Regions from separate parts of the Mus musculus genome. Here regions 1, 2, 3, 4, 5 and 7 are each reported to be linked to region 6. Evidence: microRNA targets listed by miRTarBase, many of them from high-throughput screens and not tested one by one. Region 6 holds a microRNA gene; each other region holds the end of a gene's coding sequence.
Evidence for each region. The annotated mature microRNA mmu-miR-466f-3p reads CAUACACACACACAUACACAC and lies in region 6 at 1,549-1,569, shown strand. An mRNA with a match to its seed (bases 2 to 7 or 8) in the 3' UTR can be bound and repressed. Matches are read on the target gene's strand: a 7mer-m8 pairs with bases 2 to 8, a 7mer-A1 pairs with bases 2 to 7 and ends in A, and an 8mer does both.

Region 1 (4,079 bases), not on the chromosome of region 6:
AGGACTCGATGACAAAAGATACCGAGAGACAGTGATTACATCGGAGAAAATGCACTGTGGATGCTAACTGCGCCCCTCAGGCACTCCTAAGGGAGGCATTCTCTTCTTCAAAACGGATCTCTCCTTCATTCTCGGAGCCTCCAGTCTAAGGATAATCCTGTACTGATTGATGGCAGCTAAGACTCTCTGAGGTGACAGATCTTATACACACACACTCTCTCTCTCTCTCTCTCTCTCTCTCTCTCTCTCACACACACACACACACACACACACACACACACACACTGGGCTATGACCTCACTGTGTTGTTTCATAGGGGTTGTTCCTCACCAGTCCTTTGAACACTGGAGACTGAAGCATCCCTCCTGACAACAGGACTCCCTGGAGAGAATTAGGCCAGCACCTGACTCCTCTGAGAAAGCAAAGGTGAAGACTTGCAAAACACTACTAGGAGGTGCATTGCAGACAAATTCCCTGGGTCCACACTGGTCCCACCCTCAGCTCTTGGCATTTCTAGTATCCAGGAATCTCTCTCCAGTCACAGAAGACTTGCTTCTGGTCCGTGTAAACTTATTAAGTTCATTTTTAATGCTCATTCTTGCCGGGTGTTCCTATTTATATAACTTCTCTGCTGAGACCTTTGACTTGGCAGAAACTCTCCTGGCTAGATATCTTTTCCCATCCGAGTTAGGAATCAAAGGGACAGCTTTGGTCTCTTCAAAGAGAGACCTTTTTGAAAATTTTTGCTCTTGGAAATTACCTTCCTGTGCTTTTATGTGAAGAGTGATCATGTCAGGACAGTTACATTTTGTATTATAAAATCAGAGTCATGGTTACCACATCACAGGATTGTGAGAAACGGGATAAGCTTGGAATGCTTTGAGCCTTCTACAAAGGATCAAGCTGGACATAGTGGTACCCACACACCAACCACCTCAACTATTGCACAGACCAGCCTTGGAGCGCAGACCAGCCTGAGCAACATAGCAAGACCCCAACTCAAAAGGAAAAGTTCTGTGTGTTTGTGAAATCATTACTGTGACTCTTCCTTCCTCAAGGCCAGGCTCCTGCAGTTGGGACAACAGCTCTGCTAACCCAGGGGTCAAGGCAATTCAATATGATGACTTTTGAGTCTGCTTTGGTCCAATCTAGACCTAAACTATATCCAATAACTTATATATTTAAATTCATCTGGAGTGTCACTGTATCGGGAAAGAAAAACAATAAACAATCATTTTCCATGTTTTTCATTGTAACTCGCTCATATACCATGTCTAGACAATGGCTCATGCACACATGCGTAATATCAATGAGAAAGGACACCTCTGCATTAATTGTCAACATTGATGGCTGCAGGCATGTCAGCAAAATCAAACCTCTCAAGTCACCAGGAATCTTGGACACACTATTGACGAAAACAAGACTTGGAATACAAACGAGTATAATTTTTATTTATTTATTTGGCTTAAAAAAAATCATAGCTCTAAATTTTAAAGACATCTTTTTTTATTTTTATTTATGTGTGGGGGTATATATATATATATATATTATATATATATATATTCCACCAATACACAGGTGGCTGTGGGGGACAGAAGAGGGTGCCGGATCCCCTGGAGCTGGAGTTAGGCTTTAGTTACTAACTTTGATAGACTGAAGAATGAGGTACAAAGAACTTTCCAGAAGTCTGAGTGTAGAACACAAGTCTCATGTGCTTGGAGCCCCATTATTGCATTGCCACAGGACTGACTATGCGATGGAATCTTTCTACTTGATGACACAGGACACAGTTGTACCTCTGGGAGGTGCTATCCGGGATGTGTAATAAAGTGCTTCAGGTGTCCCCAAAGGAAGGCAATGTAGTCCTGCAAAATCATTTCACATATTAAAAAAAAAAAAAAAGGAAAATTTTGGCACAACAGAAAGGGAGCCCTTACTTAAAGAACCCTTGGCTGTTTGTTTTATAATACCTGACTTCATGGTTTATCTTGTTTGTTTGTTTGTTTGTTTGTTTCCTTTTATTCAAGAAAAACAGTACTAGCCAGGAAAGGTACTCCTACTTAATCCCAGTACTTGGGATGCAGCCGCAGGTGGATCTGAGTTCAAGGCCAGGCTGGTCTATACTGCAAGTTCAGATCAGCTAAGGCTACGCAGAAGAAACCCTGTCTCAAAAAATAATGCAAAGGAAAGCAGCATAGTAGCACGCATTTAAGTTTCCACAGGGCATTTCCAGCCATACCAAACTTGAAACCCATTTCTATAGAGGAAAAAAAAGCCCATTTATTAAACATTATTTTTCACCCTCAAACATTGTTCTTGGGATTAAATACGGTTGGGTGAGAGTAGCGAGTTCTCTTTACCTTGTCCTTTCCCACATCTTATGGACCGAAAGCATCATTTTTTTTTTTTTTAGCACTGTCCACAAATCGAAACGCAATAGTGGAAAAGCCCAAGAGAAACCACCACGGACTTCATTTGGAAGACATGCAAGCAAGGCCTTGCAACCCGTTCTCGAGGTGCTCAAAGCAAATGGGCGCTTCCCATTGGCCAGATTTCGGAATGGTTCAAAGGTCTATTTCCAAGGCGGAAACCGGCAAACCAACAGGTTATTTGGAGACATCAGCAGAGTGGTTGCCGATCAACACCAGCGAGCAAGGTCCTAGGAGCCGGCCATGCAGGCGGACTGCTGGAGGAATCGAGTGAGTTCGAAGGCAGTGGACACCAAACTGCCTCACAGTACTTCATCGAGCACAGTAAAACAAAACGGACGTCAGACATCTGTGATTTAAAACTATCTTGTCTAAGGTCTTCGACAGCTCAGCGATGTTGCAACCGCTTTCATTTCCGGAAATGAAATGGCTCATTGTCTTCTCTGGATTTGCAGGTCTGACATCGAGGAGACAGCCATTACTCCTTCACGCAAATCCAATTGTGAGGAGCGCACAGTTTAAGACAGGACCCACTGAGCACCTTAGAGAACTCACGGGGAAAGCAGAGACTTTAAATTTCATCCAGAGAAAACTGTGCGAGGCTAATTCTGAACTCATGAACAACGAACAACCATGAAACAGAACAGAACAGAACAGTCCCACTTCTCGAGGGGTGGGGGAGGGGAAGACAAGGAATCAAGGTTATACAAGGCACACAAAGACAGAGCGTGCGTTGTCCTTCAGAGTCAGCCAGAGAAGTTTTGCTATAAGATTGTGACTCTAGAACCTGCCTAACAATTTGTTATATACGAATATTCATTCATTCATACATACATACATACATACATACACATATTGCTGTATGGTATAAAGTAGAAAAATAGAGAAAATAAGGCCTTTTAATATCCCTCTAAACATTAGAGGCAACTTTGTAGAAAAAGGTGGTTGGCACTGCTGGCTTAGGTAGTTTTTTGTTGCACATATCCCAACAGGGCAAGATGGCGAGCAGCAGGATGAATCCCCCGAGCAGGACACAGAAGCCACTGAAATAAAAGGCGATGTCATAGGTCTGGGTCCAATCATAGAACCAACCTGAGGAGAGAGTGGTTAAAACAATGTAAGTTTCACAGAGGCCAGGTGCATGCTCCCCACCCACTTCCAACATGGCTGCCAGTAGTTTAAGAGAGAAGTCTGTTAAATAGTTGAGGCAGGTATTTTTAGTTTCTTCCAATTAAAGAATAGGCACAAAGTCAGAGGAAGTAGATCTGCTTATCTCTATTGCAGGGTGTGTGCTGAGTGTGCATGCATATGTATCCACATGCATGTGTGTGTGTGCATGCATATGTGTGCATCTGTGCACACATGTATGCATATAGGTGTGCTCGTGCATGTGTGCGTGTGCAAATGCATGTGCATGTGTGCATGCGTGTGTGTACATGTGTGTGTGTGCTGGCCTAAAACTCACCATATACCAAACATGAGCTTCAATTTCACCCTTTAGGCCCTCCCAAGTGCTAGAATTACAGGCGTGAGCTCCCACACCTGGTTTTAGACAGAGCTGGAGAATAGACCAAGGGCTTCCTGCATGCTAGGCAAACACTCTATTGACTGGGCTACATCCCCAGCGCTACCAAAAATCGTCTTGAATAA
Region 2 (4,079 bases), not on the chromosome of region 6:
GTGCCTACTCATAGATTATGTTTTCCTCAGGTCTGTTATTTCTATAGACTTGTTAAGAGGGGTAGGGAGAGTCCTGTGTGGCCAACCCACTCTCTTGAAATGACACCTTGTCTCTTCTATTTCCTGTAATCACCTTCTAGGGTGCTTCTCCGCCACCATCCTACCCTGCCTCACAGCCCAGGGACTTGGGAACGATTCGAGAGGCACTCAGTGCTGATTAGTTTTGGTCTCAGCTGCCCTTCAAGGTGAGCTTCTGGGTACTGAAGCCATGAATTCAAAGCCATCAACGTGACCCATCCATCCCTCTAAGGAGTCTTTTGCCCAGGCAGAGCCCAGCATCAATTTTGTGAAAATAGACTTTATTATAGTAAAATGTCTTTTTAAACAAATGCCCCCACTATCCCACACCCCTGGAGACCAGGGTAGGGGGCGAGGGTTCAATCAAACATCTCCCACCACAGCGAAGAAAACATGCAAAGAGACTCGCCCAGACAAGGGGTGAAGGATGGGATGGTTAGAGTGAGGGGAGACACCCCTACCCACTCTGAACAGGGAATGTATGAAAATAGCTGCATAAATCCGTCCTTTCCCTCAGCCCCTGGACCCAACAGGGACTGGAAGAAAATGATGCAAGAGAGAAGTTGAATCCAATGAGCAAAATAAGGCAAACCCAACTCCTGCTTTCTGCCCCCTGGTCCCCTGGGTCTGAGAGGATGGGATCACACAGAGGCCAGGTGGCCTGGGCAGGGAGGGGTGGAGCACTATGGGGCGGGGTCAGGCCCGCTTTGGCATGGCCTTTCTCCTCCCCTGGCCTGTGCGGTGAAGCAGAGGGAGGACCTGGACTGAGGCACTGAGTATGTACATATATACACTGAGTATGTACATATATGCACTGAGTATGGACATATATACACTGAGTATGTACATGGCTCTGCCCCCGCCCCAGGGGACAGTCCAGTGCAAACGATCCATCGGGAGGACAGCCAGAGCCATCGTTAGAGTGGTCCCTATCTCCACCCAGGGCCTATCCTTGGAGCAGGGAAGGCCAAGAAGGGACCTACAGAGCGTGGTAGCAAAGCAGGAGTAGATGAGAACAGACTGGGAATCCAGAGGCGTGGGTCCAGTCCTGATCTGACAGTGCTTGGTGCTTGATTACTTACTCTGGGGCTCAGTTCCCTCTGGAAGAGCCCATCTAGAGGACTCCTCACTAAGGGTGCAGGTAACCCCACCCTCACCAGGTCCCCTGGGCTCCTTTGAGTGCCAGTCTGCTCAGAGATCAGGAGTTGGGTTTCCCTGTCCAGCCAGTGAGTTGATCCAGGGCCACTTCTGTCTGCAGGACAGACGGACGGCAGCCTCAGTCTTTCCTGGAGCCCAGCCTTTTGAGAAGTTCCTTTGCTTTGGCGAGGAGACCCTGCTTCTTCTCAGCTATGCTCTGTGACTCCCCCAGTTTGGTCCTGGAGGAACTTCCAGAGCTGAGGGCACAGTGCCAGCCTGGGGGCACTGGAGGCCCTTGTATGGTGATTCTGGGGTCCTGAAATGTAAGAAAGAAGGGTAAGGCCAGGGCCAGCTCCTCCCACCCATGCCTTTGCTCCTTTGTTCTTCTGTCACAGACCTTGCTGCTACTGCAGACACATATACACACACACATATACACACAAACACATACACATATACAGATACACACAGACACATACATATAGATACACACACGCTCAGACATACAGATACATATAAACATACAGATACACACAGAGAGATACACACACTCACAACACACACACATACAGATACACTCACACATACACAGATACACTCACACACACACATACAAATAAGCACATACAGACACACTCACAAGATACACACACACATACAGATACACACATTCACACACACACACACAGACAGACAGCCATACTCACAAGACATACACATATACAGATACACACATATAGTTCGACACACTCACAAGACATACACACATACAAATAGACCCATACATACAGATACACACAGAGAAACACCCACTCACAAGACACATACAGATATGAATGCACTCACACATATACACACATACAGATACACATAGACAGACAGACATACTCACAAGACACACAGGCACGCGAGTGCACACACACACACAGCATGGAGGTGAAGGGAGATGATAATGAGAACCTGCTTAAGGAAGTTCCATGGGACAGAATCTGGGCTCTGCTTTGTCGTTGGTAGCTCGGGGTGTCTGGGTGTGTCCCTTCCCTTACTGGGGCCTCACTGTAGGTGCCAAGCTGACCCTCTTCTCCCAGCCCTCTATCTCTCTGCCCCGGGGAGGAAGAGCAAGGACAAAGACACTTAGAGGTAGGAACACCCTCCCAGACAAGAGGTCAGGCACCATCTCCATCAAGGCAGGAGGCACAGTGCTTCGTGGGTCTTTGGAGAACCAAGCCAAGGAGAGATGGTGAGGCTCTGCCCTGAATGGCCCCTGAGGGGACTTTCAGACAGGCCCTCCCTGAGCACCTTCTTGATAACCCTCCTCCCTGCTCAATCCACAAGGCTGAGTCTCCTCCTGACTCAGGCCCACCAGGCAGTGCTCTTTGGTGACTTACGGGCAGGAAATCTGGCCAACCAGGTAGTCACCAGGAAGCTATTCCCAAATGAACGTCACCTGAACCTGGGCTTAGCCTTATCAACTCTTGATAAAACTGCGTTTTCTCTTTTTTTTTCTCTCTCTCTCCAGTCCCCACTGCTGCCAAGAGCTTAAGAAGCTCCTGGCCAAAACCAACCAGAGAGCCCAGACTAGAACTGAAGGACTGGGTACGCAACCATAGCTATTGCTGCTGCTGCTGCTGCTGCTGCTGCTGCTGCTGCTGCCGCCGCCACCACCACCACCATATGGGTGACTTGGCAGAGGAAACAACAGAACATACAGAGTGACTCTGTCCAGTCCTAAGGGTCAATAAACTTACAGCCAAGGCTCATGGGAGGAAGAGGGGGCTGGGGAGACAAAAAGAAGGGTTCACTGAGCCCCAAAGAAGAATAGCTTGAGACTTCCAATAGATTTCATCTATTCAAACTCTCCCTTTTATCCTCTAAGCAAAGAAACTTAGGAGACAGGAATAAAAGCAGATTTCTGATAGTCTAATAGTTTGAATCACAGAGGACCAAGGTGGGAAGACTATTATTACTGGTGACGTGGCTGTGTCACTTTCCTGTCACCAATAATAATCACAATATTATAATACCACAGCCATATAGTATCATAATACCACTGAGTCATAACATGAGTATCACATGATGTTCTATAAGCTGCATGACAGACAGAACATGAGGAGTCAGCTAAGATGCAGTGTCATATGCTAGGATGACATGCCACCCCATGACAGCTACCTGACACTGCCCAGGGTAATGGCAAGGCAGGGAGAGCGGAGGGCCCATACCCACACCTGGCTCATGGCAAGATCGCCCTCTCCCACTCATCAGCTCCATTTGAGATGAAGTCTAGTGAGGTGAGGTGGGGAATGGAGGTTACATGAGACACGGAAGCCAGTCCCCCACTTACATGTCTCTACACTAGCTCCATCTAGCACTGGACTCTTCTCCTCCTCGTTCTCTGAGAACAGGGAACAAAGAGAGGAGACGGGTTACCAACAGGCCTGCATGCTCTCCGTCAGTCACCAAGTGGCGCAGGTACCTGGTGGCTCCAGCTTCACACAGCCTTTGCGTTGGTAGCCACTGTGTGGGGTTTCTGGTTGAAGCTCAGCCTCTTCACACCCTTCCTGCTCTCTGGGTCTGGACACTTAGTTGCATTCCACCCATCCCAAGGAGACCCATGTAAAGAGAACCCAAGAAGTCGGACCTTGCAGGGCAACTGGTTTCAAATGGTACCTGGGAGGCACCCAGACCTAGCAAGGTAGGAGCACCCTGAATAACTGGCTAGTGGCAAGGGTCCTTTTCCACAGGGCTCCTCATGTGCATCAGCCCCTGGGAATCATCAGTTAGGTCAGACGGCCTGAGAAGCAGGGTCCCTGCCATTACTGATCTGCAGACAGGGGCATATAAGAGGACAGGGTGGCCTAGTGGAG
Region 3 (4,079 bases), not on the chromosome of region 6:
TCACCGAGGGAGGCATTTCTGAGACCAGAACTGTGTTGTCTGGACAGCCATGTGTACATATGTTTTATGTATGTTCAATGCATGTGTGTGCCTGGTGGCATGTGTGCACAGTCCAGCCAGCCTGATGGCGTGCTGTCCCTTTTTAAGGAGTAGCTCATTCCTGTTCAAGCAGGTGCTTTAGGCACTGCTGGTGTGGCAGCTGGTTGTTGCTGGTTTTTAACTGGTGGTGGGGGCCTGACAGTCTGGGATGAAGGACATTTAATGGTCTACCTCACCCTTATCTGATCAACCTGTCATTCAGGGCTATACCCTGCAGGCCAATGACCTCCTTGTGCTTCAGAAGGGTCACCAAAGATAGGACATACAGATGCGCCTGACCCAGCCGAGCCTGGTCTGAGCCCGAGCACTCCATGTGACACCCACATTCCTCAGGAAAGTCCCTTTTACAAGCCTGCACACAAACATGGTCACTTGTGAGTGTGCAGAGATATTAGCCTCCCCTACACGGGCTCACTTTTACAGAGGCGGTTGTCCATGTGTACCACATATGTACACAGCAGTTCCATGGGAGCTCACATACCGACCTCTGATCACACAAAAATACCCTAGGCAGATGGGACAGAGATGGGAGGGACACCGGAGAGGTGGCCAGGACAGATGGAGGCCGAGGGCTCTGGACCTGAGCAGTGAGTACACTCTACACCACAGTCTTCTCTCTCAGATTAAACAGCCACTCCCTTCAACTTTCGGTTGTTTCATTCGAAGGCCAGAGGTGCCCCTCTCAATGTGTAAAAAGCACCCACAGACAGGAGCATGCAGCATCTCTGCCTGGGTAGTACTCACTGCCACCTCTGAGAAGGGCTCAGGGAACAAATAGTGCATCTTGTTCCCTGCCTGCCAGTGTGAGGCAGGTCCCCGTGTCTGACCTGTGGCTATCCTTCACTGTAGCTGACAGCGCTTTCCTGGCCTTTATTAACGACCGTGTCAGCAGCTGGCGTGGGATGCTGCGACTGTCTTCAGGTGATAGATCACGAAGGCCTTTCACGGCTATTTATTTCCAGTGACCCTGTCTCCCCTCCACTATTGCTAGCTTAAGAGTTATGAAGGTGAATCGGGATAATTTGATATCGATCTATTTGCTGAGCTAAATTGACCGCATGGTGGATGTTAGTAAGGGCATTTGGCTCTACCAGGGCCTGTGATGGTGGCTCTGATCTGCTCACGGCTACAATGGGGAAACAATTACAGGGACCAACACGGAGGGCCAGAGTGCCAGATATCGGGGAAGTGGTTCTTCTTGGGTGTTGGAAGGTTCTACAAGGGCCGTAGCCACCAGTACTGCACCCACAGGAATGTGGCAAGTGTGACAATGGATGTTCCCCATTCTGGCAGGTGATGTCTTGTCTAGAAACAGTCAAGCCACAGTGGCCTTGAGAACACCATACAGAGAATGGCAAGAGACGTGTGTGTGTGTGTGTGTGTGTGTGTGTGTGTGTGTGTATGTGTATACAGATCTCCTGTGGCTAGGCTGACATTACTCTCCACTCTGCATGGCTATCTGAGCTAGTGTGGCTCCAGCTTTGGGTCTATATGATGGCCCCAGGGCATCTTATCTTTCACTATGCTGGGCCATGTGGGCAGTGCCCTGCTGTCTTCTCAGGCTCAGTTCACCAGGAAAGTGCCTGGTTGCTCTCCATCTCCCAGGAGCACAAGGCTTCCCTGTGAAGGCCTTGATGCATTGGCCAAGGGTCAACAGAGTAGGTGTGCACAGCACAGGTGCCTCCTTCCGTGATCTTGTGAGGATATCTTTTGGAAATATAAGGACTGAGGTCTGGGCTGGCCTGTGATACCTGCTATGGAAGGGCTCCAGGTGAAGTTACCTCCCACCATTCCTGAGGCTTTTTTTCCACTGAGTCCAGGGTCTTGAGCCCAGTAGCAGATGTGTTTTCTTGAGCAAGATGGCCCAACACAGGGTGATGCTGCATAGGGTCACTCCCACAGACTGCACTGGGATTCTCTGGGAATCCTGCCCCTGGGGATCACCGCCATGGACTGGCTCTGGGAGGCCCAGATATCCAACAGCTCCTTCCACATCCTGGTTTCTGGAGGCACAGCATCTTCCTTCCAACAATGAATCGTCCAGTCTCACCTGGAGCTCTACCAGGCCTTGTGGCAACATCAGAGGCCCCATCAGTGATCTCTGCAGATTGCTGAGGGCCATATGTGGACTCAGGGCTATTGTTAACACGTGGCCCCAGGGCTATTGTTAACACAGTGGACCCAGGGGTCTGGGGAGGAAGGGAGAGGGGGGGAGGGGGAGGGGGAGGGGGAGAGTGAGCGTGAGAGGAGAGCAAGAGGGGGAGAGGAAGGGGAGGAGGAGGGAGAGGGAGAGGGAGAGAGAGAGGGGGGAGGAAAGGGAGAGGGAGAGGGAAGAGAGGGAGAGGAGAGCGGGAGAGGGGAAGGCGGAGAGAGAGGAGGAAGAGGAGGGAGAGGGAGAGAGAGGGGGAGAGGGAGAGAGAGGGGGAGAGGGAGAGGAGAGCGAGAGGGGGAGAGGAGAGCAAGAGAGGGAGAGAGATGGGAGGGAGAGGTAGAGGGAGGAGAGGGAGAGGGAGAGCTCAAGAGCGCTGTGCTGTTTCTCCCCGTGGCCTGAGGGCACATAACCAGGATCTGAGCTGGCAGGACGTGGGCTGGAAGATGGAGGCCTGGGAAGCTGAGTAGGAAGAGGTTTGAGAAGAAGGCACAGAGGACCAGAAAGACCCCAAACTGGGGTGAGACAAGGTCAGGGAAGAGGAGCTTCAGGGCTATTTGGGGATGGCCCTCACCTGGCATGGATGAGGCTACAAAGACTTCAAGTGTTCTAACACACACACACACACACACACACACACACACACACACACACACACACACACACACACACACACACAGCAGCTCCAGGGAGATAATCCCGGCAGCAGGAACCATGGTCTGGGAGCTGTAGGCTCCACCCAGTGCTGTTGTTTGTTGTTCTACGTGGGCTGGGAGCTGTGCCGGCCTAGGAAATGTGTGCGCGCAGACTCACAGCTCACAGGTCACAGTCAGAGAAGCACTACACGGTGTGTCTTTATTTCACCTCTTCTCACTGTCACCTCTGACTCTCTGGGACCTGCCCTCAGGAGAGGCAGCAGCCCCGGGCACTGGAGAGCTGGCCACAGCCGTGTCCTTACTGTGCTTGTGAGACTGGCACACACCAGTGATCTCAAGGACCACTGAGGACACAGCCAGTGGTCAGGGTCACCTGGGCTTGGACAATCAGCCTGGGGTTGAGGGAACTCACTTGGTGATTCGTCCCTAGAGGTTTTGATTCCGGTCAACCTGATTGCAGGAGGGGAGGGGTTCCATCCGAGGCCCATAGCACGTGACCGCGGGGTGTTTGGGGTTCTCTAGCCTTGGCCTGGCTGGCTCCTCTGTCCTGAGGGGTACAACTGTTTGAGCAGCTCCTTCTTATTCACCTTGCCCATCTGGTTCCGGGGGATCTCCTCCACCAGCAGGAGCTCCGAGGGCACAGCATAGGGGGCCAGGACACCTCTGCAGAGACAAGCACAGCCTGAGGACAGCACCCCACCCCGGGAAATGTCTGATATATCCAGAAGCCATTGTGGCCACATCCTGACTGTGACAGATGGCAACAGGACTGTTGTCTTCTCTCTGGCTTCCTACAAAGTCAGCAGTGACATGGGTGAGGACACTGAGAGGAGGGGACGAGTCCTTTGCTCTCCTCATCCAGACTGGTTTCTTCTTGTCCTGGGGATAACTGACCACAGGCTGGCCTGCTGCCATTCCCACTTAAGGTGACTCTGGCACAGGAGAGTGGCTCCTGCAGGTGACAAGCATGGTCAACTACCGACAAGTAGCTTCTGGGCCACCACCAGAACGTAATGAGAGGAAGGCGTTGTTTTTGGTAGGAAAGGCTGCGGGTCCTGTTCTGTGTCTCAGATGGCACTGAGGTAGGGATGTGAGCCCTGCAGATGTTCTCCTGCTCTGCTGCAGGGACAACCTACCCAGAGATCATGTGCACGGCCTGGGGCAGCATCCCCGCC
Region 4 (4,079 bases), not on the chromosome of region 6:
TAAATAACTTTATAGTGTCACAAATGTTTTGGATTCCTTAGTTCCTTATCAGGATATGAAGCTTGTTTATCCTACCATTAATACCACCACATTCGGATTTTTGTTGTATTTTTGCCACATATTTAAAACTGTCAATATCTGAAATCTGGAAACAGTGTTAAGCCTTTGACCATTTTTTCTAAAATGTAGTAGGATTACACATAAATGAAGAGAGCGGTAAAATGAAGGTTATTTGTTGGGGGTTTTTGGTTTTTTTTTTTTTTTTTTTAACTTTTTTTCAGCCTGCCCAAACTCAAAAAGGCAACAGGCACCATGTGAGAATTATAAATTTTGGCTTCATTTTTGTTGTTTTTATTTTGAATCAAGTTGGAAATGCTTTTAAAGTTTTATTTTTAAGGACACAATAAAAATTGGTAAAACTGAATTTAGCGTTTATTTCGAGATTATAAATTACTAAGTGTATTTATACCATTTACGTCATCATTAGCATTGGATTGGTCTTAAAGGTTCTGTGTATTTAACAGTATCTGTGCCGTCTGCAGTGTTCTGTCCTTTACTTGGCCTCCATTTCCTTTCCAATTGAGCTTAAGGCCTTCCAGAGGAGAAAATGAAGTTGTGAGTTCAGATGAGGTTTTTGTTCCATTTTAAAAATTCAATACATTGTTTCTATTTACTTTTTAGATTTCTTTTCTTTGGGGGAGTGGTTTCATATGCTGGAAAATATCCCTGTTCCTTTATAAATGCAGTAACAGTAATCGGCAGCTCTTGGGTTGAGTGTAGTAAGTTTGAGGGGGGGCCCCTGTGGTTTGGGGTAGCTTGTTTTTAGTCTTGTCTATTGTGGTTTCCATGTATATGAAAGGCTGTCAATATTACTCAGCACTTGCTGTGCCAAGTTGTGTGTGTTCCAGATATTCCTACTTAACCTTAAAATCACTCCCAGGAAATGAACACTTATCCTGTTTTTCAAATAAGAAAGCTGTCTTCCGTGGGGTACCCACCATGTGGACAGGAGTTTTTGCATACACACCTTCTAACTTTACTAAAAGTAGATTTAAAGTGTATTCCAGGATTGTAGGCTGTTGGAGCTCCAGCACTCTGAAGCTGGCTTCCTTCACTGTACTTTTTTACCATGTTCCTTTTTTACAAATATTGAGATTAGACTTCAACAATAGCCAGGAATCAGAGAGGTTAAACAACTTACTGTCTTCAACTGTTAGCTTCATCAAGATTAAGATACTCGATTCATTGTTGCAGAAGACTCTCTTCTCTTTTCCTGTCCCTCCAATCCTGTTAGTTATTAATGTTTGTGTATTTGTAAAACTGGTTCACCATTCACCCTGTGTTAAAACTGTAGTTCTTGGTTTTTTGTTGTTGGGAGTTTTTGTGTGCAGTGGGTGGGGGGGATAAAAACTTGAGGCATGTAAATTTTTATTAGTAACAGTAGTTTGTAAAGAAGTAAAAGGCTTTTGTAATCCAGGTTTTGTTTTTGCAGATCACATTTCTTTGTTGGAGAGTAAAATAAACTGGTCTAGGAGCTTTAAAAAAAAAAATCTTGGTTTTTCTGTAGACTTTGTTGTACCTTACAGGTATAACTACCCAAGCAGATACTTGTCTCTGAGGTTTTAGAGATGTATTACTTGATTTAGAACATTGCCTATGAAAATATGGGGGGGGGGGGGAAGTTGCATAATTTAGAGCCATTTGAAAATGGATTAATAGATTTAAGGTAAAGTCAGTCTATCATACTACACACTGCCACCAAAATACATAGGAAGTGAACACTGTATGGCTGCCTTCGGCAACCAACTGGTGGATTCTGCCATACTTACTGAAGGCTGCAGGAGTACACACACACACACACACACACACACACACACACACACACACACACACACACACACACCCACCCACCCACCCACCCACCCACCCACCCACCCACCCACCCACCCACCCACCCACCCTCCCTCAAAGGCAGGCTTTCTCTGTAAATAGCCCTCCTGGCTGCCTTTTTTTTTTTTTTTTTTTTTTTTTTTTTTTTTTTTTGCTATTTGTGCCTCCTGAATGAACTTACAGCTATGTTTTATTAGTGTCTATTGAAGTGTTTATGCAATCAGCACACATCTTAGTCCAAATTAGAGATCTGGGCATATTGCTGCATTCTAATGCATACATAAAAAAACAAAAGTATAGGCAGAGGCACAAAAAGACTTTGTTAGTTGTTCCACTGAATCACACCAGGGATAATCCATCCTCTGCAGGTGGGATTGTTTAAGCAAATAAGCAAAAGCTAATTACACTTTTGGTTTTGAGACCAGGTAAAGCACTTGCTGTTCTGTAACTCATATCTGCCTACATACAAGGATTTTCGGTAGTTTGAATAGTCATAAATAAAATGTTTAAATTCCCCATCAGCACAGAGGAAGCATAGTTCAGCTGGGCAGGGCTGTGCACACTGTCAATCTCAGCGTTCAAGCTAGAGAGACCTGTGTCAAACAGCATAGTAGCATCACAGTCATCCCAAGTAGACAATCATAAATCACTTACATAAAAAGAATGTACTAGGGAGGAAAGGTTTATTTATGAATTTTATTTTTCAGTCAGATTATAGTTTTGTGAACTTGTCCTTTAGGATACTCAATGTTTGACTTGAACTCTTGCTCTGAACTTAATTGAGAAAACACAATTTAGCTCTTCTGCTCATAAAGATTGAGAAGTAATTGTTACTGGGTTTAATAACACAAGAGACTTTTTCCCTTTGCCAATGAAAATGAGGGGTTGCACATAATCAGGCAGGGGTGACTTAGGGTTGATAAAGCCAAAATGAGTCTTTGGGTTTAAGATGGTTGGGGAGGAAGTTTTGTCCTACATCTTTATATCTCTTTAAAAAAAAACAGGAAATGTAGCTTAAATCTTTTCAATTATAAAAACTTAATACAACAGATTTCACACATCAGTTACATTGATTCACTCTGGCACTTAAGCACAAGGGCAACCTTTAAAAATTGGAGACCTTCAAAATTAGGCCATAAGATTTTTAAAAAAAAAACAGTTCATGGTCTTACATTCATCAAATTCACACTAAAAATAGTCTTATTTTTGTAGAATAAAGGCTAAGAAAACATTACATATGTTACAAGCTTATTACATGTATTTACATGACTTTAAATGTCACAAACACAACTCCCTACTTCAAACAGGCTTTGTATATAGGTGAGGCCAGGATCACTTTAGCAGCTTTGTGGGGTGCTAGTCAGCACTGTCTGTTTTTAGAATAGACTTGGTACATCTCTGGGTACTTATCCACTGCATTTAAGAAATGACCACTGGGACATGTGCTGCGCCGCTATCTTTTGAAAAATGCCCAAGATAGTTTGGATGACCCTAGACCATGAAACTGAACTGTGCAACCTTGTATATGCTAAATGCACTGTCTGACTTCTTCAGAAGTTGTGTGTTAACCCATAAATCTTAATTTTTCCCATCAAACAATAAAAAAGTTAAGGTTACTATTTCCCAGATCTAAACTTGAATTTACCAAGTAGAATCAATTAGTCACTTAAATTGTTGAAATTGCATCGACACTGTATAGTGTGTACAGCACATAAATCAGATGTCATGTGTAAGCGTCACAATTTAAAGTTAACACCTACTAACTTTATACCTGTACCTTAAGTAAGGTTTTAAGTTGAAATGTCATCGTTTCCTTATCTGAAGGGTTCAAGGAAACATGAACCCAGTGGCTTGGTGGCTTGGGGAGAACACTTGGTGATGGTGGTTCACTAAATTTGGCTCCAGCATAGTTCTGACTAGCTTGAGACTTAAAAAGCAAGCTAGGACTTGATAAACCAGCATTCCAGTTGGAGTTGTTAGAAAGGCTCTTGGTCTTTCCCCCATTTTGCATGGCCTGCCATGCTGCTGCTGCTGGATTGTACCCATGTCCTCGTTCCTTTTTCTTATGAGCAATCTTCGTCTGGGAAGAATTCTGATCCTTGCTCTTCTGTCTATTTTGCTGTTCTTGGTTCTTACTAGCATTTCTAGATTGAGGGTCTGGAATGTTATACCTCTCTCCGCCACCCATC
Region 5 (4,079 bases), not on the chromosome of region 6:
AATAAGTCTTTCCTGGTGCTTTTTGATTGGCTTAATCAATAATTAATCATCTTAGATGAGGCTGTAACTTGTGGAGTGGATACAATTGGATTAGGTGAAGAGAGACAGTTGGGGTGCTTTGAAGAGATTAAAATGGCTGTCAATCCCATAATTAAACTGCCACAAACAAAAGCAATGGTGTTTTAAACAAAGAGAAAGAGAGAGAGAGAGGGAAGGAGAACTTGGGGAAACCCGACTGGTTTGAAGAGAACCAACAAGTGTTTGTGAATTGGAGATGATGGCAGCGACCCAAGCCTGACCAACTGATTCGGCTAAATGAAACGTGCCTTTAGTTCTGAGATGAGCAGGTGAACCGCCGGAGCGTCAGCCTCTCTAAGACAAAACAGATCCACAAGAGGAAAATAAAGTTAATTATTCAAACCCAGAGAGACCTGCTCCTTGTCCTGAGCGCATTTGGGCCTTGACTTCTCCTCCTTTAATTGGCTTAGGTTTGGCTTGTGTGAATGAAGCCTTTCATGTCCCTCTTTCTCCATGCCCCTTTCATCTTTCTATTACAAATACACAGAGAGCTCGGGAGAAAATACTTTGGTTTTTAAAGACTTCTCTTTTTAAAAGGCTGTGGATTTGGATGGGGGAGGGTGTGTGTGTGATGTTGGTGAATACTTTTTTTTTTCTCTTTCTTTTATCTCTTTTTCTAGAGAGGAGTTGCTTAAACCAATGGGACTAAAACCTGACGGGACAATAACGCCTTTGGAGGAAGCACTCAGCCAGTATTCTGTCATCGAAGAGACCAGCTCGGACACAGACTGAAAGCATCATCACCTGCTCCACTCTCAATATGGCTTTTATCAGCATCTTTTCTCTGTAGCTCCAGGGGAATCTTTTTCTCTAAAACGTTTATGCCCTCGCTTTGGCTAGAAACACATTAACTGGTTTACTCATTGGGAATCCAGCATATTTAAGAGGTAATCCTGTGTTTTCTGCAACATTGAGGCATTCATACAGAGCTGCAGTTAGGCAGAGTTGCGGGGCTAGAAGCAGAAGCAGACATCCCATTGCACCAGGACAGAGTACGGGACTTCACTCGGCAAGCAGCCCTGGTCAGATCTGGCAGTCTTGTTGCCGAAGATTCTGCGTGTCCTTCCACCCACCCATGTCAACTGCCCCTTCTGAGTCTCTCCAGCGACCTGGGGCCCCTGAGGGCCCGAGGAGCTGATAAATAAGGGCTGAGGCAAGTGACTCCTTAGATCAGCACTGACTGAACGAAAGCCAGGCAGCTGTTCTGTAAGCCTAGCCCTACCCTTCATTTCAGTTTTATACAAATGTGGAAACACACACACACGCACGCACACACACACATGGCCCCAGACTTACAAACCTATTACACTCTAAAAGTGTGTCATTTAGCGAAAACTTGAGATTACATTTCTTCCTGGGAGGAGTTAGAAGTAATGGTTTAGTTCAGGCAGCTACACGTGCCTATTTATCCCTCGTTCCTGAACACTACTAGTACCGTAGGGCTGGACCACCATCTGTACCGTTGCGTCCACAGTGTGCATTCTGAGGTATCACTCAGGGTGCCAAGTACACACTCATCCTCCAGGCAACAGAGAGGATGGGGCTCCCCGAGTAGTGGGAGTTCTTTTGTGGCCTGTGCTGGGGGTAGGGAGCCAACAGCACCCGTTTGTACATAAAGGTCATTCGTATGTCACATGTTTTAAACTGGGGTCTCTGTGTGTATTTGTGTGTGTGTTCTACCTTTCTACCATATGTCATCAGTTTAATGGTAACTTTATTTATTTAAAAACAAAGAAACACAAATAGTTACTATTAAACTGATTAAGGCTGTTTATTTTTACTCCTAGAAATGGTCATATGAAGTAGATGTGCAATCATGTAGACAGCAGGCCAAGGTGATCAGTGGCTAAAGTTGAAAAGGGGTTGGTTTCTTTCATATATGTATGTGTGTGTACATGCGCATACATAGATATATGCACACATAGATTATGTGCTTGACCACTGCCTTTTAAAACTTTAAATTAAATAAAACATTGGGGATGATTCAATTTAGCCATCTGTGTGTGTGTTTCTTTATGGATACGTGGTCTAAGGAGACTATTGCACAGCTTATGTTTTAAAGTCTTTCTCCACCTGCTCCCTCACCTGTCATTGTGCAGCCTCTTTCCAGGACAGAGTGTGCATAGATAGCATTGGTGAGAATTCGTTTAGCTTCAATGGTCCCTGGCCTTTGAGCTACCAGACAGATGCCAGGAAGTTCTTAAAATTTACTCTGAAGGGAACCCTTAAAGAGTAGTCACCATCACTAAGATTTATATTCATTTCAAACATGTTTGGTCACTTGGACTTTGAGCCCTCACCCCACACAAAGGCAGAGAAGGTTAGTGTGTTTCAAGCAGGCACCCTAAAAACAGTAAAAGGCGTCAGCCGGGAGTGGGGAGCCTTCAGTGCCCAGATTCCTCCTCCAGATCCAAATGGGGGCCAGTGTGCACAGCAAGGTGAGCAGGAAGAAACACCATCCAAGGCTCAGCAGATAGTGTGTGTGACAGGTGGCCAGAGACAGCTTTCCTAATAGTGGCCCTGAGCGGCTCTAAAAGGATCAACCAAAAGACTTGTAAGAGACTCGGGAATGTCCGTACATCAAGGACTCTCATCCATAACTATTGTTTTAGCCAATGGCACCACCCAATAAGATTTTCATTTTATTCTGCCGTTCATAATTTTAGTTAAGTAGAAAAAAATTCAGAGGAGCAGGAACTTAGTTATTTTGTTACTTCATTCTACAAATTCATTTCAAAAGTATTTTTATAATCTCTGGTCAGATAGCTTTTCCATGAGCATCAGCCTACGAAAGCATGCTGTGCCCGGTGAAACGCCACCTTGCCGCCTCTGCGCAAGTGCTTGCACAGTGCCGTAGCTGTGCTCCGACGCTTTCAACAAGTTCCTTTCACCATGCATCTCTTGCATCTAGGCACTTAATTTTTTTTTTTAAGGAGTAATTCTTTAAAAGATGGAGTAGCTTCACCATGCACACAGAGAGCACTGAGCAGCGAGCTTCATGTCTTCTTTGTAACCTCACCCCATCTCCAAGCAGAGCCTTTCCAGAGAGCTGCTTAACTTCCTAGACCCTCAGCAAGCCAGGGTCCAGCTGTGGGCTTGACACCTGCACCTTCCCTGTTGCATGTAGGACCACTAGCCAGAGGCTTTAAGACAGCAGACAGGCTGCGGAAGGTGGTCCTTCTCAGACCATTTTAAGCAATAACTATTTGAGCAGCAGTCTCTGGTGTTCCCATCAGGGAGGTACCTGCACGAGCGGGAGAAGCTTGGTCAGTTAGCAGATTTTAGGTGAAGACCTGGACACCCTTAGGTCAGAGAGCAACAGTGTGGGTCGGTCCTCCAGTGAGAGGGGTCAGCCAGTGACCACGGCCGTTTACATACACTGGACTTGGGAATGCACGCCCTAAAACAAGGCATTGGAACTCCTCAGAGGAACAGTTTCCAGATGTCTGTGGCCCGTTTGCATGTCCAGTGGTTTTTAGTGGCAGTCAGGGCAAATGCTGTCCTTTCTCTATAAATGACAGGTTGAATGAAGCTTTGCAAATGGCTGGACAGCACCCTGGCACGTGAGTCTTGCTGCCCCCAGGACTAGGTATCACTCTCCTTCAGCTTTCTTTGGCCCCACCTTGTCTATCAGAGTCATACATGCTTCTTGTAGAATGTTTAGAAAGTGCGGAAACAGTAAAACTAGCTATTGACCCAGAGCCCTCCCACCCCCGAGAGCATCACTGTTCATGTTTGGTGTATTCCTTTCCTATATTTTTTCTATGCATATATAATTTATTTTACTACAAGATTGGGATCATGCTGTGTTTACAGATTTGTACCCTGCTTTCCTTAACATTGTGAGCATTTTCCCATACCAATAAATAGTCTTCAAATGTTGATGGCTGTGACATTCCGTTACATGAAGTGTGGCAAACACTGCTGGTCACCGCAATGAGTATTACAACCTGTAACCCTGGCTTCCATCCATTAAAAAGATGTTGCCTTCTGTCTTTTGG
Region 6 (4,076 bases):
CTTCCTGAGAATTTAGAGATTAGTCTGTGATTCATGTGATGCCCCCCATGTATGTGCCTGTGTGTATAGTTGTGTGTGCATGTGCATGTGTGTATATGAATATACATATACATACACACACACGTATAAACGCAAGCACAAACACACACAGAGGAATGGCACTCGTTGATCCATTTGAATGATATGTGACTTAGAGCTTTAGAGATTATGTAGTATTGGGCCACTGAAACTTTTCATTCACCAGGGAAGGCTTGCCAGAGCATCAGTATCCAGAGTTCAAAATCATGCTTAACTTCATAATGAGTTAAAGATCAGCCTGGGATTCATGGGCTGTACCCTATATATGGGCAGGTGTGTGTCTTGTGTGTGCATGTTCATTTGTGTATATGAATATGAATATACACACACTTACACACTCATGCACACACACACACATCCATTTGAATGATATGTGTCTTAGAGCTTGAGAGTTTAGGCAGGACAGTGCCAGGGAGAGATCTCACTCACCAGGTAACAATGTTTGCCATACTCAGGAGGATTAGGAGATGAAATTCATGCTTAATTTCATGATGAGTTAGACATCAGCCTAGAATTCATGGGATGTCCCCCATGAATGTATGTGCATGTGTATATAGTTTTGTGTGCATGTGCATGTGTGTCTATTAATGTACATATACATACACACAAACATATACACGCATGCGCAGATACAGACACAGAAATGGCTTTCATCGATCCATTTGTATAATATGTAAATTTACTGGGCCAGTGAGACATCTCACTCACCAGGCAAAAACATTTCTCACAGTCAGGAGAATCAGGAGTTCAAATTCATAATAACTTCATGATGAGTTAGAGATCAGCCTTGTGTTAATGTGATGACCCCTATGTATGTGCATGTGTGTATATTTATGTGTGCATGAAAATGTATGTATATATGAATATACATATACATACATACCCACACAAACATGCACACACACACAAACACACCCACAATTGCCACTTACCAATCCATGTGAATGATATGCAACCTAGAGGTTAGAGATTGAGTATTCCTTTGCCCAAAAGAGCTCTCTCTCTCTCACCAGGTGAAAATGCTTGCAGAGTAAGGAAGAACAGCAGTAAAAATTTATGCTTAATTTCATGATGAGTTAGAGATCAGCCCGGGATTTGTGTGTTGCTTGCTCTATATGTGTGTATACTTGTGTGTGCATGTATATGTGTGTATATGAATATACATATACATACACACCCATATACACACGCATGCATGCACACACACAAATACATATACACAGGAATGGCACTCATCGATCCATTTGAATGATATGTGACTTAGAGTCTTATAGATTATGCAGTAGTGTGTCAATGAACGGTCTCACTCACCAGGTGAAAATGGTTGACAGAGTCAGGAGGATCAGGAGTTCAAATTCATGATTAACTTCAGTTAGAGATCATCCTGGCATTCATGTGATGCCACCCATGTATGTGAATGTGTGTTTACGTGTGTGTGCATGTGCATGTGTGTATATGAATATATGTATACATACACACACACATACACACTCATGTAACACACACACACACACACACACGAATGGCACTCATTTATCCATTTGAATGATATGTGACGTAGAACTATAGAGATTATGTAGTACTGGGCCAGTGAGTGCTCTCACTTTCTAGTTGAAAATGCTTGCCAGAATCAGGAGAATCAGGAGTTCAAATTCATGCTTACATTCATGAGGATTTAGAGATCAAACTGTGAATCATGTTTTGCCCCCCATGTTTGTGCATGTGCGTATAGTTGTGTGTGCATGTATATGTGTGTATATGAATATACATATACATACACACCCATATATACACGCATTCATATGAACACATCAACACACACGCAGGAATGGTATTCATCGATTTATTTTATTGATATGTGATTTAGAGCTTTAGAAATTATGTAGTACTGGGCCAATGAAACTTTTTACTCACCAGATATAAACGATTGGTATAGTCAGAAAGATCTGGAGTTCAAATTCATGCTTAACTTCATAATGAGTTAGAGATCAGCCTGGTATTCCTGGGATGTACCCCGTGTATGTGCATGGGTGTATAGTTTTGTGTGCATTTGCCTGTTTGTATATGAATATACATATCCATACATACAATCATATACAGGCACACAAAGACACACAGACATGAATGGCACTCAGTGATTCATTTGAATGATATGTCACCTCAAGTTTTGGAGGTTATGCAGTACTTGGCCTGAGAGGGGTCTCAGTCAGCAGGTGATAATGTTTACCAGAGTCAGTAGGCCCAGGGCCTGGCAAACGCAGAAGTGGATGCTCACAGTCAGCTATTGGATGGATCACAGAGCCCACATTGGAGGAGCTAGAGAAAGTACCCAAGGAGCTGAGGGGATCTGCAACCCTATAGGTGGAACAACAATATGAACTAACCAGTACGCCCCGGAGCTTGTATCTCTAGCTGCATATGTATCAGAAGATGGCCTAGTCGGCCATCAGTGGAAAGAGAGGCCCATTGGTCGTGCAAACTTTATATGCCTCAGTACAGGGGAACGCCAGGTCCAAGAAGTGGGAGTGGGTGGGTAGGGGAGTTGGGGGGGGAAGGGTATGGGGGACTTTTGGGATAACACTGGAAATGTAAATGAAGAAAATACCTAATAATAAAAGAGTTCAATTTTATCCTTAACTTCACGATGAGTTAGAGAGGAGCCTGAGATTTTTGTGATGATCCCGTGATGTATGTGTGTATATTAATATACATATACATAAACTCATACATACACATACATGTGACACCCACATATGAATGGCACTCATCGATCCATTGGAATTATTTGTGACTTAGAGCTTTAGAGATTATGTAGTACTTGGCCACTGAAAGTTTTGATTCACCAGGTAAAAACCCTTGCCAGAGTCATCAGTATCTGGAGTTCAAATTCATGTTTAACTTCATGAAGAATTTGGGATCAGCCTGGATTCATGTGATGTCTCCCCTTGAATGTGCATATGTGTATACATAAGTGTGTTCATGTGTATATGTGTATATGAATATACATATACATACACACAAACATACATGCATGCATGGACACACACACACATGAATGGCACTCATTGATCCATTTGTATGATATATAATTTAGAGCTTTAAATATTATGTAGTACTGGGTCAGTAATAGTCTCACTCATAAGGTAAAAACACTTGCCAGAGTCAGGTGAAGAGAGAGTTCAAATACAAAATTTACTTCATGAAGAGATAGAAATCAGACTGGGATGTTTCTTATGTATGTGCATGTGTGCATATATGTATGTGTGCATGTTAATATATGCATATAAATATACACATATAAACTAACCAACACAACATGCACACACACAGAGACACACACAAATACACACACACACACACAAACTCAAAATTGATACTCATCTATCCATTTGAATGATATGTAACTTAATGTTTTAGAGCTATGTATAAATGGGTCAAGGAGAAGTCTCACTCACTAGGTGAAACACTTGCCAGAGTCAGGAGGATCAGGAGTTCAAATTCATGCTTAATTTCACAACGATTTAGAGATCAGTATGCAATTGATGTGATGCACACCAAGAATGTGCATGTGTTAGAGTTGTGTGCATATTCACTTCTCTATATGAATATGCATATACACACATGCACACACAGTAATGCCACTCATATATCCTTTGAAATGATATGTGCCATAGAGCTTTAGCGCTTATGCGGTAGTGATCCAGAGCTATGTCTCAGTTAGGAGGTGAAACGCTTGCCAGAGTCTGGAGGATCTGGAGTTCAAATTCATGTTTAACTTCATGATGAGTTAGAGTTCATCATGCGATTCATGTGATGCCCAACAAGAATGTGCATGTGTGTATAGCTGTGTGCATATTCACTTCTCTATATGAATATGCACATACACGCAAGCACACACAGGAATGGCACTCATATATCCTTTTGAATGGTATGTGACTTAGAACTTTAGAGCTTATGCAGTACTGATCAAGAGCTATGTCTCAGTTAGGAGGTTAAGT
Region 7 (4,000 bases), not on the chromosome of region 6:
GACAAGGCAGTAAAGCAGTTAATGTTCAAGCAGGGTTGCTCCCAACAAGTAAGTTCCATGGAAACCCTGTCTCAAACAGACAGACAACAGCAACCATATAATCTGATCCTTACAGTCCTTAGGAGTTTTCAAGACAGGCTTGCTCTGTGTAGCCCTGGCTGTCCTGGACTCACTCTGCAGACCAGGCTGGCCTAGAACTCAGAGATCCGCCTGCCTCTGCCTCCCGAGTGCTGGGATTAAAGGTGTGTGCCACCACTGCCTGGCTAAACATAGCTTTAAAAGTAGTTGTGCTAGCTATTTCGTATACAGATGACAGTTCCAGCTGAAAACGCTTCCTGTTTTTATTCTCCTTCTCTCAATAGAAACTACGCCCGGTTCCGACAGAGGCCTCTGCAGAGGTACAGTCTGAGTCAGTGGGTTGACAGAAACAAGCGGAGCCACCATCGGTTCCAGCGTCTCCCAGACTTCTCCTACAGTCCATATGTCTCATCCCATCAACAGTGACAGTTCCTGCCAAGGGTCCCGTCCAGAGCAGCATCACATTTTCCTCTGCTATTTTTGTTTGTATATTTTGAGTTTTATTTCACAAGATTTTTATTTAAAGAATTTGTCACCTTTTGGAAATGCCCATTACTGTCTTGAATTTTTGTTTTTTAATGAGGGCCACCCCCCACCCCTGATTTGTATGTCTGTCTGGTGAATATGTTTCAGCAGTGTTAAGTATTGTTTTTCTGTTTGTTCACTGTTGTTGTTGTTGTTGCTGTTTTTAAATTTTAAATGAAGGTAATTCTCTTTTGAAGGCCTGCATTAAGTCAGAACAGTCAGGCTTTGAGTAAAATACCAGCTGTAAGGGCAGGCAGACTCACCTTCCAGTCTACTGTAAGGAAGAGGCTGTTTTGCAAGCTAAGAGCCGGTATTATTATTGTTGACTTGTGAATAGATAGAAGTCACTTTTAACGACCCCTCTTTTTAAATTTGAGTTTCTTGAATACTTGTCAGTATTTTAATGTTGCCAATTCAGTACATTTGAAATAGGAGAAGGAGAAAAGTCCTGTTGAAGGGCTAGATTAAAAGTGTAAATCCTCTCCTTTCTGTACCTATTAGCTGCCTTTTTAAAAAATTATTAGTGGCTTTTTTCACTCTCTATTAGATATATTTCGTTCATAATGTTTGAAATCTTACACATCTTAACTGACAGAAGACAGCTGAATAACCCTTGTTCAATACTCTGTGGTCTTGTGACTGGTTGGTTTCTCTGCCCCATTGTTTTCTTTTCCTTTTCCCACTCCCAGTGACCGGTTAGTCCTGAAGCTTTGCAGTAAGTGTTCTTATGTCCTGTTAGACTGAGACATGGCTCTCAGGTGCCCTCTGTCTGCTGAAGAAATCCTGTCAGAATCCTGACTGTCGTTAGGCCGGCACAGAATCCTGACTGTTGTTAGGCCAGCACAATTGGGATGTCTAGGAATCTTCAGTTCTGTCTTCGGAACCCGAGTTTATGTGTTGCTGCTGTTCAAGGAACCTTCGTCCTATGAAATCCTTGGGAGAGTCACTGGCCTCTCCCGTTGGTTACAGGTACCCTTATACCCTGGATGTTAGCGTTGTAGTTGTAGCATTGGGTCCATTGTTTCACATTAGTGTTTGAGCATCTTGGGAAAGTACGATTGAGCCCGTGCACCGCACCACCACCATGCACCGCGTAAGGTGTGGTGTTCCAACCAAAGCGCTAGGCTCTGTGTACTGTCTTAATGGATGTCCTAAAAGATCTGTATTTCTTACAGGCAGCTCTAGAGATCATTCTGAGAGGGTTTACAATATGACACTCCTGCTGCTGCAGTCACTGTGGGAGTGATTCATAGTTGCCTAGCCTCTGTCTCATTTTATATGTGGCTAACCCACCCTGAATAGTCTACTCTGCCTCAGAAAAATGATCTTTTTGTTCTGTTTTGTTTTTGCTTTTCAAGACAGGGTTTCTTTGTATACTCCTGGCTGTCCTGGAACTCGCTCTTAGACTGGGCTGGCCTTAACTCACAGAGCTCTGCCTACCTTGCCTTCTCACTGCTGGGAGTAAAAGGATGAATCACCATTGTTGGACTGAAAAAGTGACTGTGATTAGGAAAATCTTGATTTTGTTTGTTTTGTTTTGTTTTGTTTTCAAGCCTTTAATAGGTTTGGATAAATGTTCCCAAGTGTGTGTTAGTTTTATCTAGTGAAAGTTTTTTCTTCTTTCCTTCCTTTTTTGCGGCAGGGTCTCCTATAAAGCCTAGGCTAGCCATCAACACACTATTTAACCCAAGATGGTCTTGCACTTCTGATTTTTCTCTCCCTCCAGCCCCTCACCCCTCAGACAGGTTTTTTTTTTATGTAGCCCTCCTGTCTGGGTAGACCAGGCTGGCCTCAGGACTCACAGAGATTCACCTGCCTCTGCCTTCTTAGTGCTGGGATTAAAGGTGTGCACCACCACTCCCTGCTTTTGACATCCCCCCCCCCGCCCCACCCGCCACCCCCAGAAAGACTTTTCTATTTCTTAGTTATTTGGTTTAGATTCTGGGACCAGACTTTGAAAGGCAGTAGTCCAGTCACCTCTCTTGATGGGCACGCTTGTTGTTGACCTCAGTTGACTTGTCCAAGATGCTGTGAGTTAGCCTGTTAGACTGAGATATGCCAAACAACCCACCTATGGGACCAAAACAAAGTGCAGATTAGCTACCGCTGGAGTAGCTAGCATTGGGGCTGAATGGTTCCCACGGGGAGCCCAGGGAGTGGAGGGACAGCAAAGCTCCTGCTCTCCTGCTACCAGGAGGAATTAAGACTGAATGTATAATGGGAGTGCTGCCTCTGTCAGAGCAGATGAGTGACAGGTTAACTAGAAAATGTGACAATCACATTTCCTCTAGCGCAGATAATTCTGTTTTTCCAAAGTGTTAGCAGCTAATTAAATCTGGTGGACTGGGGGAGGAGAGAGCTGTTCTGTACTGGTTAACATGGTATTCTTTAAGGAGAAAAAAGCCAAAGAAAACTCATCCGGCATGTTAGCCTTAAAGATGGTACTGGCCAGAAGCCGGGGCTTAATCTCTTCAGAGCTGCATATCTCTTATGTTTGGGTTTGGCCTCTAAGTCTTGTAGATTAAATTAATTCTTGCTGTATTTTTAAATTTGAGTAAGGGTTATGTGCATTTAACTGTGTTCCTGTCTTTTATCATCCCTGGGGACGTTCTTACCATAGGGGTCTTGACAAAGCAAAGCTAAAATGTGTTGTTGATAAATAGTTCCTGTGTAGGTCAGGAGCCGAAATAACAATAGCTCTGCAGCTCATCGGGCTCTGATTTACTCGAGTTGTTGTCGGGGTCGATTATGAAACTGAAGTTTGGTGCCTCCTTTTTTATCATGTTTTTCCCCTTGTAGCAGTTGTGTTTAATGTCATTAAAAAGAAATAAAAGTTCTCGTCAGTGGCATATGTACTGTGGCCGTCTGTTCCGGGCTTTGGAGGAGCACTCTCTGCCTTCCTCTGCGTAGGTCGCTCTGCTTGGGAGGGTGGCGGCATTTAGTAGAATATGGTTCTGGGAAGGAGAAAGTGCTTGCTCCCTGTTCTTTTGAGGGTAAATTACAGTGCTGGGGAAGGCGTTCCAGCAGTTAAGAAATGTTGCAATTGATTAGGATTTGCAGCTACATATGGTGCATGTCAGGAGCCTGACATTGGGAGAGCCTGAAATATCCCTGTGCAGAGGGCGGGGGAGACCAGGCAGCCGGTAGCGGGCGGGAGGGCAGTGCCTTGCATTCCTTCCCTTCCCATGGATCCATGGCCGGCCACTGTGTATGTTTAGGAAACCATGCGGTTCCAGGGCATTCTCCCTTTGGAAACAGGAGAAACCAGAATTAGTCATTTGAAATTGGTGGGTGTTCTTTTTTTTTTTTTTTTAAGATTTATTTATTTATTTACTATATGTAAGTACACTGTAGCTGTCTTCAGACACTGCAGAAGAGGGCGTCAGATTTCATTACG

Region 1: the mRNA of Slc16a9 is a reported target of mmu-miR-466f-3p. Seed matches in the 3' UTR shown: 7mer-m8 at 3,276-3,282 and 7mer-m8 at 1,571-1,577.
Region 2: the mRNA of Tspoap1 is a reported target of mmu-miR-466f-3p. Seed matches in the 3' UTR shown: 7mer-A1 at 908-914 and 7mer-A1 at 866-872.
Region 3: miRTarBase lists Acsf3 as a target of mmu-miR-466f-3p. The part of its 3' UTR that is shown has no 7-base or 8-base seed match.
Region 4: the mRNA of Pnrc2 is a reported target of mmu-miR-466f-3p. The part of its 3' UTR that is shown has no 7-base or 8-base seed match.
Region 5: the mRNA of Ric8b is a reported target of mmu-miR-466f-3p. Seed matches in the 3' UTR shown: 7mer-m8 at 1,735-1,741.
Region 7: the mRNA of S100pbp is a reported target of mmu-miR-466f-3p. The part of its 3' UTR that is shown has no 7-base or 8-base seed match.

Annotation. Positions count from the first base shown.
Region 1 is chr10:70,283,316-70,287,394 of GRCm38, reverse strand. It overlaps Slc16a9 (solute carrier family 16 (monocarboxylic acid transporters), member 9), which reads right to left. Exons shown (of 6, transcript NM_025807.3): 6 at 1,444-3,521. The coding sequence ends at 3,340. Among named protein-coding and RNA genes, the nearest start is that of Gm40687, 4.4 kb to the left of the region's middle.
Region 2 is chr11:87,782,188-87,786,266 of GRCm38, reverse strand. Tspoap1 (TSPO associated protein 1) reads right to left here. Exons shown (of 32, transcript NM_172449.2): 31 at 3,557-3,607; 32 at 339-1,531. The coding sequence ends at 3,578. It overlaps Gm34064 (a long non-coding RNA gene), which reads left to right. Exons shown (of 3, transcript XR_388944.3): 2 at 141-245; 3 at 2,735-3,086. Among named protein-coding and RNA genes, the nearest start is that of Mpo, 9.6 kb to the left of the region's middle.
Region 3 is chr8:122,816,880-122,820,958 of GRCm38, reverse strand. It overlaps Acsf3 (acyl-CoA synthetase family member 3), which reads right to left. Exons shown (of 10, transcript NM_144932.4): 10 at 3,072-3,567. The coding sequence ends at 3,423. Among named protein-coding and RNA genes, the nearest start is that of Gm35466, 4.5 kb to the left of the region's middle.
Region 4 is chr4:135,868,359-135,872,437 of GRCm38, forward strand. Pnrc2 (proline-rich nuclear receptor coactivator 2) reads right to left here. Exons shown (of 3, transcript NM_026383.3): 3 at 2,568-4,079. The coding sequence starts at 4,078. The coding sequence ends at 3,656. It also overlaps a transcript of Srsf10 not described here. Among named protein-coding and RNA genes, the nearest start is that of Pnrc2, 3.4 kb to the right of the region's middle.
Region 5 is chr10:85,014,378-85,018,456 of GRCm38, forward strand. It overlaps Ric8b (RIC8 guanine nucleotide exchange factor B), which reads left to right. Exons shown (of 10, transcript NM_183172.2): 10 at 699-3,960. The coding sequence ends at 810. Among named protein-coding and RNA genes, the nearest start is that of Gm34633, 12 kb to the left of the region's middle.
Region 6 is chr2:10,467,181-10,471,256 of GRCm38, forward strand. It overlaps Mir466f-2 (microRNA 466f-2), which reads left to right and starts at 1,495; the gene lies at 1,495-1,588. The region is part of intron 10 of Sfmbt2 (Scm-like with four mbt domains 2); the gene reads left to right. Mir669f (microRNA 669f) reads left to right here and starts at 49; the gene lies at 49-169. Mir669e (microRNA 669e) reads left to right here and starts at 315; the gene lies at 315-433. It also overlaps Mir669b, Mir669d and Mir669l.
Region 7 is chr4:129,147,454-129,151,453 of GRCm38, reverse strand. S100pbp (S100P binding protein) reads left to right here. Exons shown (of 7, transcript NM_001379590.1): 7 at 363-3,452. The coding sequence ends at 504. Among named protein-coding and RNA genes, the nearest start is that of Fndc5, 12 kb to the right of the region's middle.